Linked DNA regions of Macaca mulatta. The protein of the gene in region 3 purifies or fractionates together with the protein of the main gene of each other region. This does not show direct contact. Links are inferred from orthologs where the notes say so. Each region holds a gene or a part of one and is shown on either strand. Other genes may lie near its edges. The genes, in order: MAPK11, PGRMC1 and DUSP9.

Region 1 (4,311 bases), on a different chromosome or scaffold from region 3:
CCCGCCCCAGGTACTTGGTGACCACCCTCATGGGTGCCGACCTGAACAACATCGTCAAGTGCCAGGCGCTGAGCGACGAGCACGTTCAGTTCCTGGTTTACCAACTGCTGCGCGGGCTAAAGGTAGGGCGCCCTGGGTTTCGCGGGTCCCCTCGCGGGGGGCGGGCGGGCCGGGCCTGGCGCTCACCACGATCCCCCTCCCGCAGTACATCCACTCGGCCGGGATCATCCACCGGGTAGGTGCGACCGCAGGGTGAGGGTCGGGTCCAGCAGGGCTCCGTCCCGGCCTCCTGTGCTCACGCTCCGCGTGACCTGCAGGACCTGAAGCCCAGCAACGTGGCTGTGAACGAGGACTGTGAGCTCAGGGTGAGGCCCGCGGGCAGGGATGGGCGGGGCGGTGGCGAAGCCCGTGAGGAGCTTGAGAACACCTCGTGGTCGCCCCAGATCCTGGACTTCGGGCTGGCGCGCCAGGCAGATGAGGAGATGACCGGCTACGTGGCCACGCGCTGGTACCGGGCACCTGAGATAATGCTAAACTGGATGCATTACAACCAGACAGGTGCAGGGGGAAGGCCTGGGGGGACGAAGGCCGAGGGCCTCGTCTGGCCCTGGACTGGTTCTGCATGCCAGGTCTTGGGGGGCGGGCAAGGTCCCCAAGAATGTGGGACCCACATTCAAAGGCAGCCCTTCAGAGGCCGCTAGAGCATGACGGGTGCTGGCCTCCTCTGGCCCTGCAGCTACAGGCCTCCCCCTGCCCAGGGGGGTTGGGTATGGCGGAGGAGGGGGTCTGCCCATCTCAGGGCCTGGATGTGACTGTGGGTCTCCTGGAGGAGGGACTTGGGGTGAGCACACTGATGGAGGCCCCCTCGCCCTCAAACAGTGGACATCTGGTCCGTGGGCTGCATCATGGCTGAGCTGCTCCAGGGCAAGGCCCTCTTCCCGGGAAGCGACTGTATCCTTGGCTCAGGTTGGGGAGCAGGGTCAAACAGGGCCCCTCTTGTAGGGTAGGGACCAGTGCTGGCCCCTTCTGGCGGGTCTTGCCTCTTCTGCCCCCCATGCCATGCTACTTTGGGCTGGCCATCCTCAGCTCTAGGAGAGCGGGCTCTGGGCAGCGCCCCAAAGTTCTGGGTCTGGGGGCCCAAGAGAGGTCCTTGGCTGGCCCGTGGGTGTTTCCTGAGTGATACAGACATTGACCAGCTGAAGCGCATCATGGAAGTGGTGGGCACACCCAGCCCCGAGGTTCTGGCAAAGATCTCCTCGGAACACGTGAGTTGGTGCCTGCCTCTGCTGGTCGAGTCCCAGGCTCTCTGCCTCTGCTGGTCGAGTCTGCCTCTCTGCTGGTCGAGTCTCCTCCCTCTGCTGGTCGAGTCCCAGGCTCTCTCGGGGAGAGGGTGGTGTGGAAATGTGGGGACAATATGGGGAACATGGGATGTGGTGGGATAGAGACTACGTCAGGTGCCAATCCCTGCAGGGGAAACAGGAGAAGGGGGAAGATGTTCCTGACACCAGGGACAGTGAGTGCAAAACCATGACCCCAGCAAGCAGTGCCTGGCCAGGGCAGTGGGGTTGGGCTGGGTGGAGGGAGTGTACTTGGACCCAGCTCCTGCAGGCGTTAGGGGCCAAGTGAGGAGCTAGTCACCGGACCCTATGTGGAGAGAGTCACTGGTCTGCCTGTGCCCTTGTCCTAGCCTGTTGGAGTGAATTGAGTCTGGGGGCTTGCCAAGAGAAGCCCCAGTTTGGGGCCAGGGAGGCAGAGAGTGAGCAGCCTCCCCAGGTGTTCTCGTGTGCCCTCCAGGCCCGGACATACATCCAGTCCCTGCCCCCCATGCCCCAGAAGGACCTGAGCAGCATCTTCCATGGAGCCAACCCCCTGGGTGAGGACTGCCCTGGGGCTAGACTGGGCTCCATATCTGGCCCTGGATACAGAGCTGACCCTCTCCTCCCTGCCACTGGCTCCCCTGCAGCCATAGACCTCCTTGGAAGGATGCTGGTGCTGGACAGTGACCAGAGGGTCAGTGCTGCCGAGGCATTGGCCCACGCCTACTTCAGCCAGTACCATGACCCTGAGGATGAGCCAGAGGCCGAGCCGTATGATGAGAGCGTTGAGGCTAAGGAGCGCACGCTGGAGGAGTGGAAGGGTGGGCATGGCAGTGGCTGTGGGTGGGTCCAGGGGCCTGCAGGCTCCATTTCCCCAGAGGCAGGAAATGCCCCGGTTCCTCTCCAGACTGGTCAGGTGTGGAAGGGCGTTCGGGTGTCCAGCACAGGCTGGGGGTGGGTGGGGTTGGGGAGTGGCACAGGGCAGGTTCTGGCTCCCAGACTCTGCTGAGGCTGCTGTCACAGGGTGGTGGGCCTGGGCTAGGTGGCAGGTGCCAGACAAGCAGGTGGGGGGCTGGACTGTGGGAGGCACAGGCTCACCCTTTCCCTTCACCTCCTAGAGCTCACCTACCAGGAAGTCCTCAGCTTCAAGCCCCCAGAGCCACCGAAGCCGCCTGGCAGCCTGGAGATTGAGCAGTGAGGTGCCGCCCAGCAGCCCCTAAGAGCTCGTGGAGGGGCTTGGGCCTGCACCCTTCCACAGCTGGTCCGATTTCCTCAAGAGGCACCTCCCACATTCCTATGGTCACTGACTCCTGGCCTAGGACCCCTCGCCTTCAGGATAATCTACACACATGTATGCATGCACAAACATGTGTGTACATGTGCTTGCCATGTGTAGGAGTCTGGGCACAAGTGTCCCTGGGCCTACCTTGGTCCTCCTGCTCCCTTCTGGCTACTGCGCTCTCCATTGGGACCTGACTGTGGGGTCCTGGATGCCAAAAGGGCACCCCTGCGGAGTTCCCCTGTCTGTCCCAGGCTGACCCATTGGGGAGCATCAACCTTGGGGTCTCTTCTGTCCCAGGGCTCTCTGGAGGACACGCTGGGGCCGGGACCCTGGGAGACTCAAAGGGAGAGGTCTCAGTGGTTAGAGCTGCTCAGCCTGGAAGTAGGGGGCTGTCCTGGTCAGTGCTGAGACCCACAGGTCTAAGAGGAGTGGCAGAGCCAGTGTGCCACCAGGCTGGGCACGGACAACCACCAGGTGTCAAATGAGAAAAGCTGCCTGGAGCCTTGTGTTCACCCGTGGGTGTGTGTGGGCACATGTGGATGAGCGTGCACTCCTCGTGTTCATATGTCAGGGCACATGTGATATGGTGCATGTGAATCTGTGGGCGCCTAAGGGCCAGCAGCCATGCCTGGCAAGAAGCTGGCGCTGGGGCGGGCGTGCTGTTGCCTTCCCTCTCCTCAGTTCCTGATGCTGTGAGGGGTGTTTCAGACTGGGGGCTCCAGTGGGCGAAAGGGCAGCCACATGAGCGCCAGCACGGGCTTTCTCCTCGGATATGTGACCCGCAGCAGGCTCCTGAGGCTGGGGGTGACTGGGTGGTTTGGCCTTGAGGACGCTAAGGCAGGCAGCACACGCGGGTGTGGACTTGGACTCGAACACTTGTGCGCCGCACCCTGGCCCGCTCTCTACCTCTGCCCACCGTTGTGGCCCTGCAGCCGGAGATCTGAGGTGCTCTGGTCTGCGTGTCATTCCTCTTTCCTTGTCCCAGGATGGAGCTGATCCAGTAACCTCGGAGACGGGACCCTGCCCAGAGCTGAGTTGGGGGTATGGCTCTGCCCTGGAAAGGGGGTGACCTCTTGCCTCGAGGGGCCCAGGGAAGCCTGGGTGTCAAGTGCCTGCACCAGGGGTGCACAATAAAGGGGGTTATCTCGCTCGGTTCATATCCAAAGGCCACTCCAGGCCCTGCTGCCCCCGCCATCCCCACTGCTGGGCATGGGGGGAGTGTCTGGGTCACTCTGCATCACTCACCTCTAGCTGGCCAGATCCCTCAGGCCCCCAGTCAGACCAGTGGCCATCTTCTGGCACCCTCCCTGCTCCCTGGAGGGTCTGAGCCCAGGGGGACCAGGGGAGGACACGGCTGATGGGTGGGCTCTGAGGGCACAGGGTGGGACGGCCACCCAGATGGTGACCCCAGCTGCCCTGTGGGGATGTACTGGGCAGGCTTGGCTTTGGGCCAAGATCCAGACACCACCTCCCTACCCCTCAGTGGTCAGGGAAGCTGGCTGGGGGGGAGTTGGGTGTCAAGGGAGCAAGGGTCTGCCCATCCCTGGGTGGGGGCTGGGTGGGCTAGGGAAAATAGCTTTCCTTTCCTTCCTGGTGAAGGAAAAAGAGGCCACTTTAACCCAGAGAATGTGTGTGCTGGTCCCGTTCCCACTATGCTCTGCAGCTTACGTGTGGGGGAGGGGCCAGACCATTTGGGGTCAGGCAGTGTCTCTA
Region 2 (3,010 bases), about 34 Mb from region 3:
AAGTACCTGCAATGTGGTTTGATAACATGAAAAATTGAAATTTCTTTGGTTCAGGGAGTATATCTCTTGTAAGAAAACTCTGCCAATGTTAACATTAAAATGACAAAACACTAATGGGTTGTCTTTGTTTATACAACTGACTGCATATGCAAATCTGTTATTCTTCTTTTGATATGAGGTGAATTAACTTTGCTACTGTAAGGATTCTGATACTTTCCTGATCAGAAAATTCATTAACATAAAAAAACCCAAAACCCTTCCTTAGTACTTGGCAATGACAAAGTCTTCAGTAATACTACTTCTTAAGAACCTGGCTATAGACTTCAAGGTGGAGATCTGCCATTTACAGTTTAGAAAGTTCTGATTTAGGCAAAACTTTGACAAGTCACAGAAAAAGCAATTCAATTCACTATGTCTTAACAGGACAAGCTGGTATTTGGTTTTTGGTGTGGGGTCTCCGTGAAATTTTGCCGCTTGTTTCTTTTGGAATACAAAAACTCTGCACTCAAAAGTGAAACTGAATTTTAAGCCAAAGTAAAATGTCTGAATCAGATTCCCTAGAATAAGGTTTTTTAAAAAATTTAAATAAGTCACCACACTATAGTGGGTAAAACCATTTTTATTAACTGACCAAAGCATATCATTTTGTTTTCTGATTTGAGGTAAAATCATTAAACACAGTTCACAAGAAAATACAACGACTATTTAACCACAATTACAAGAGTTTGAAATCTCACTAGCTGTTCATATAATACTTTTACAAATTCATACAACTGTATAGTCTACTTAAGCTTAGTGTTAACCAAAAGAGCAATATCAAAGACCTAGACACTTGACGACTACTTTTGCAGTGGGTATAGTTTTGTAACAACAGAATAACTGTTATGTTATGAATATACTTTACTTTAAAATCCACTTGGTTAGTGACTGTACTGTTTCCTCGTGGTTCAGGCGTGCGCATGAAGGCTCTTAGGAGAGCAAACACCTGTTCCTATTCTGTATGTCCCTCCCTCATTTCAAATGAGAATAACCAATTGAGGAAAATAACCAAATAACCATTGCCCCACCATGAACATGGGGCTTGGGAAGACAGTCCTACAATCTTCACCATATATTTAGGTTTTTAGGCCAGCCAGCTGTTTTTTTTCAAAGCTTTCTTTTGAATGTTCAGATCCTATTTTAATCCTAACTATAGACTACTGTGTTTGTGAAGGTGTCTGAGTGTCTATGTGAGGGCAAGGACAACAATGCAGTCCAGAAACACAGAAAATATGCTTTTTTGCAGCTGAGCTCTGTTTTGAGATTTCATTACTGGACAGTGCTTTAATCAATACCAAAGTCTTTGGAACACTGCAGATTTGCTTTAGAGGTAGATAAAACAGAAATCATGCAGTTAAGTCAATTGAGAAAAAAAAAAAAGGATTTGTTATCTTTAGAGAACATCATGACTAAAAGTTGATCCTTTGTTCTTGGTGCACATTTAAGATTTTTTGGGAAATACCCAAGTCTTCCTTGTCTCTCAGGAAAAACACATTTAAATTCATCCTGTACTAACTACAGATAGAAGAAAAACAGTATTAACATGTGTATTACAGCACTGCAGTTCACTTTCTGGATTTGTGACACACAAACACATCATGCATTCTAAGACAGAAGTTAATTTTATTAGTGTCACTAGTGATGTTAATTAAAAAACTTACAGCAAGTGCTCAAAATTTTTCTAAATATTGTAATCACTACGTTTTAAAGACAGAGTGGACTGTTACAAATGATTTTGCAAAATACAAAAATAGATATACTTCCACTGAATGCTTTAATCATTTTTCCGAGCACTCTCATCTTTTGGTTCTTCCTCATCTGAGTACACAGTGGGCTCCTCCCCCTCCTTCAGCAGTTTGCCCACGTGATGATACTTGACTGGAGGTGGAGAAGAAAACACAAATGGTCATTCTCATTCTTTCTAAAACATCATTACCACATTTCAATTTAAAGCATTTATTAGAGGCCTACAATATACTCAGCAATGTGTTGGGCTTCTTGAAGGATACAAAGGTGGTTTATACCACTGTCCTTGCTAACAGGGAATTCGTTTTATTCAGAAGATAGACATATAAAACAGGTGGCAATGTCTGGCAATGAGTGTGCAAGGTAATGTCAAAATGAATTGTTTGTGTGTAGGGAATGTTTAGAAGAACAAGGGCAAGTTATGAGTTCATCAGAAGGGTTACAGAATACTTCATGGAAGGAGGATATATTTTGGAAAAAATGTATACAAGGATTTAGGGAGGGAGTTCCAGAAAATGAAAACGTCATGTACAAATGCATACAGGTGAGACAATGTATCTGGGAAGCAGTAAAGAGACCAAGTTGGCAGGAGTAGTTAACATTTAGAAGTTAGTAGGAGATAAGATTGGCTAAGTAGTGTGGGGAAATATTATGAAAGATCTGAAAAGCCAGCCTGAGGAGACCGGACTTATAGGTGGCAAAGGGCACTGAAGGTTTACAAGCGAAGGAATGACACAGTAAAATAGTGTTTTAACAACAATATTATCAATGTGGTGCATAGGGCAGATTTCAGTAAGGAGAGACTGGGGACAGGGCGATCCGGAGGCTAGCGTGCAGATCCAGATGCAAACGAACCAGAGGCAGGAGTAGGGTGGTGTCCAGGGGAATGGAAAAGGACAGAATGAGAAGTACTTTGAAAGAAAACTGGAAGCATGAATTAAGTGAAAATTGGAGTTCCCATGGACCAAAATGGAAACTCTGTGGAGGGAGCCATTCTGGAGGCTCACATGACAGGACATCTACAACATGGAATGGACAAGTGAAGTCAGGATTGGCAGGAAAAAAAAAGGTTTCCCTGAAAATCTTTCAGAAAGAGAGTTCAATCCAATTGTGGGGATAGAAGCCATACTGTAGGGAGGAAGAAGGTATAGAGAGGAAATGAAGCAGTGGTTAGGAGCAAAAACTTGTAAGAAGTTTGACAGTGAAAGGAAGGAATAACAGTCTC
Region 3 (2,971 bases):
GCCGCTGCAGCCGCCCCCACCTGCCCCGGTGCTCCTGTACGACCAGGGTGGGGGCCGGCGCCGGCGCGGGGAGGCAGAGGCCGAGGCCGAGGAGTGGGAGGCCGAGTCGGTGCTGGGCACCCTGCTGCAGAAGCTGCGAGAGGAAGGCTACCTGGCCTACTACCTTCAGGGTAGGTGCCGCGGGGCCCTCCTTCCAGGGCGTTTGGGATTCATTTGACCTTAGGCCAGCCCCACTTCTTTTTTTCCAAAGCGAGTTGAGGCCCCCCTCCTCTGATGACCTGCCAGGCTGCTTTGAGAGGAGGGAAGCCTGAGTGTGACCGTGGGCAAGTTCTTTACCCTCGGCAGCCCAGTCTCTGAGCCTGGAAAATGGGGAGAATTGGCCTGACCTGAGCTAGTTCTCAGGATGCTCAAGAGCGAAGTAGAAAGTGTGGGCTCCCCAGGGTCTCGGCAAGGGTATCGCCACCTCTCCCACCTGCTCAGCAAATGAGCAAGGGAGGCAGGGGTCAGACAGCATTGGTGCAATCACGGCTCACTGAAGCCTCCTGGGCTCAAGCGATCCTCCCACCTTAGCCTCCTGAACAGCATATAAAGTGTCAGGTTTCCAGGCCGGGGAAATAGTATCTGTAAATAGAGATGCTGGCTTCTTGAGACTTTAGAACCATTCTGGTGGAATGTCACATTCTCCCCCAAGTTCCCCACATCTTGGGGTCCCACTTCATCCCTGAGGGTCAGGACATGCCCAGGCAGAGAACTTCCTTTTCTTTAACTGATGGCCACAGTCCTCCCTAAGGCTGGCAGTATATCTCAGCTCTGTTGAGCCCTCACACCTGCCTCAGCTTGACCCTAGGGGTGTAAGATCCTCTCCGGTGGTTCAGCGTGAGCCCAGCTTCTTGCAGCCCCAGCAGCTGCAGTGGGCACTTGCTGTCCAGAGCAGTGGCCGAGAGTGCTGAGTGAGGGTGGCTAGGGCTCCACGTGGCACCAGGACACACCAAGCTGCTGGGTTTTGTGTTCCTTTTAGGAACATTTGCAAACCCTCCAAGTTGTCTAGGGTCAGCTCCCCAGCCCCAGACAGAGGTACTTGGCTGCCCAGGAGGCCAGGTCAGCAGGCCCCATGCCCTCTCCCCCACAGGTGGCTTCAGCAGATTCCAGGCCGAGTGCCCTCACCTGTGTGAGACCAGCCTTAGTGGCCGTGCCGGCTCCAGCATGGCCCCGGTGCCCAGTCCGGTGCCTGTAGTGGGGTTGGGCAGTCTGTGCCTGGGCTCCGACTGCTCTGATGCGGAATCCGAGGCTGACCGCGACTCCATGAGCTGTGGCCTGGATTCGGAGGGTGCCACACCCCCGCCAGTGGGGCTGCGGGCATCCTTCCCTGTCCAGATCCTGCCCAACCTCTATCTGGGCAGTGCCCGGGATTCCGCCAACTTGGAGAGCCTGGCCAAACTGGGCATCCGCTACATCCTCAATGTCACCCCCAACCTCCCAAACTTCTTCGAGAAGAATGGCGACTTTCACTACAAGCAGATCCCCATCTCCGACCACTGGAGCCAGAACCTGTCGCAGTTCTTCCCGGAGGCTATTGAGTTCATCGGTGAGTCCGCCCCACCCGCCCTCCCCAAGACCTGCTCTGGCCTCCCCCTTGTGAGCACTCCTCCCAAGCCCAGCTGCCATTCCCAGAGCCAAAAGCCAGGGTGGCACTTCTAGGGGACAGGCAGAGCTAGGGCGGCCCCCAGAGGCCACCAGCGAAAACTCCAGGCCGTGGCCATCTGGCTCAGGGGGCAGGGCGGGGTCTTCGGAAGGCCTCGGCCTCACACACGCTTGCCCTCGGGGTCTCCCGGGCCCTGTCCTGCCCCATCTAGATGAGGCCTTGTCCCAGAACTGCGGGGTGCTCGTCCACTGCCTGGCGGGGGTCAGCCGTTCTGTCACCGTCACTGTGGCCTACCTCATGCAGAAGCTCCACCTCTCTCTCAACGATGCCTATGACCTGGTCAAGAGAAAGAAGTCTAACATCTCCCCCAACTTCAACTTCATGGGGCAGTTGCTGGACTTTGAGCGCAGCCTGCGGCTGGAGGAGCGCCGCTCACAGGAGCAGGGCAGTGGGGGGCAGGCATCCATGGCCTCTGACCCGCCCTCCTTCTTCACCACCCCCACCAGTGATGGCGCCTTCGAGCTGGCCCCTACCTAGGGCCCAGTGGCCGGCGGGCCGGCCCCTGCCCCACCCCCACCCACGGGTGTCCCTGCCCACTCGTGCGGCAAGGGAGGGGAGGGCGGGAGGGCTCGGCCTGAGCAGGGTGCTGGGGGGAGAGCGCAATACCTCACGCGGGCTGGCGTCCTAATCAACGTGCCTACGGCAGGGCTGCTCTAAGCCTGCCTCTTCTGCGACTGTTACTTTTTGCTTTGCGGGATGGGGGTGGGGGTTCCCTCTCCAGGTGGTTGTCCAGGCCCCGGCCCCGGCCCTGGGTGCTCGGCCAGCTCGGCTGGGCCCTGCACCTCCCTGCGCTTCCTCCTTCAGGAAGGGTGTGTCTCACCTTGTTGCCACAGGGACTGGCTCCCAGTCCCTCCCCTGTCCCCAAATGGTTGCTTGGGGGAGAGGAGTTTGCCATCACTGGTGTTGTCACCTCCCTGTTTCTCCACCAAGGGCTTGGGCCTCTCGGGGCTGGGGCCTCCCAGGGAATGGGGACCCAGAGGTGCAGTGGCTGCCTGCATCCATGGCCTAGGAGCGACTGGGCAGGTTCCCGGCCACACATCTGGTGGGCTTTTTTTTTTCCCTCTTCCCCCAGATGTCTTGACGGGATCACTGGGGCTCTTTGTGAGTGAGGGTGGTCAAACTGCTGCCGGAGGAGATGGGGTCTCAGAGCGAGAGCTGGGGAGGGGGAGGGGAAGAAGAAGGCCTCACTTTTGCTGCTGCGGGGCCCACACAGCCGCTGCTACTTTGGGGGCTGGGGAAGGGGCCAAGCTGCAGACACACACAGTCATT

The links.
Region 1: the proteins of DUSP9 (region 3) and MAPK11 purify together in Homo sapiens (affinity purification with mass spectrometry; 4 studies listed by BioGRID and IntAct, with this or other methods). This does not show direct contact. The link is inferred for Macaca mulatta from reciprocal best matches to the Homo sapiens genes DUSP9 and MAPK11.
Region 2: the proteins of DUSP9 (region 3) and PGRMC1 purify together in Homo sapiens (affinity purification with mass spectrometry; 3 studies listed by BioGRID). This does not show direct contact. The link is inferred for Macaca mulatta from reciprocal best matches to the Homo sapiens genes DUSP9 and PGRMC1.

The regions. Positions count from the first base shown.
Region 1 is NC_133415.1:1,180,825-1,185,135, forward strand, and holds the end of MAPK11 (mitogen-activated protein kinase 11), read left to right. Parts: intron 1-10; coding exon 11-122; intron 123-205; coding exon 206-235; intron 236-317; coding exon 318-365; intron 366-443; coding exon 444-558; intron 559-879; coding exon 880-951; intron 952-1,185; coding exon 1,186-1,265; intron 1,266-1,794; coding exon 1,795-1,873; intron 1,874-1,963; coding exon 1,964-2,137; intron 2,138-2,434; coding exon 2,435-2,514; 3' UTR 2,515-3,749; downstream 3,750-4,311. UniProt on the Homo sapiens protein: Serine/threonine kinase which acts as an essential component of the MAP kinase signal transduction pathway.
Region 2 is NC_133426.1:125,722,629-125,725,638, reverse strand, and holds the end of PGRMC1 (membrane-associated progesterone receptor component 1), read right to left. Parts: intron 1,918-3,010; coding exon 1,814-1,917; 3' UTR 600-1,813; downstream 1-599. UniProt on the Homo sapiens protein: Component of a progesterone-binding protein complex. Binds progesterone. Has many reported cellular functions (heme homeostasis, interaction with CYPs). Required for the maintenance of uterine histoarchitecture and normal female reproductive lifespan.
Region 3 is NC_133426.1:159,885,835-159,888,805, forward strand, and holds the end of DUSP9 (dual specificity protein phosphatase 9), read left to right. Parts: coding exon 1-170; intron 171-1,129; coding exon 1,130-1,585; intron 1,586-1,853; coding exon 1,854-2,179; 3' UTR 2,180-2,458; downstream 2,459-2,971. UniProt on the Homo sapiens protein: Inactivates MAP kinases. Has a specificity for the ERK family.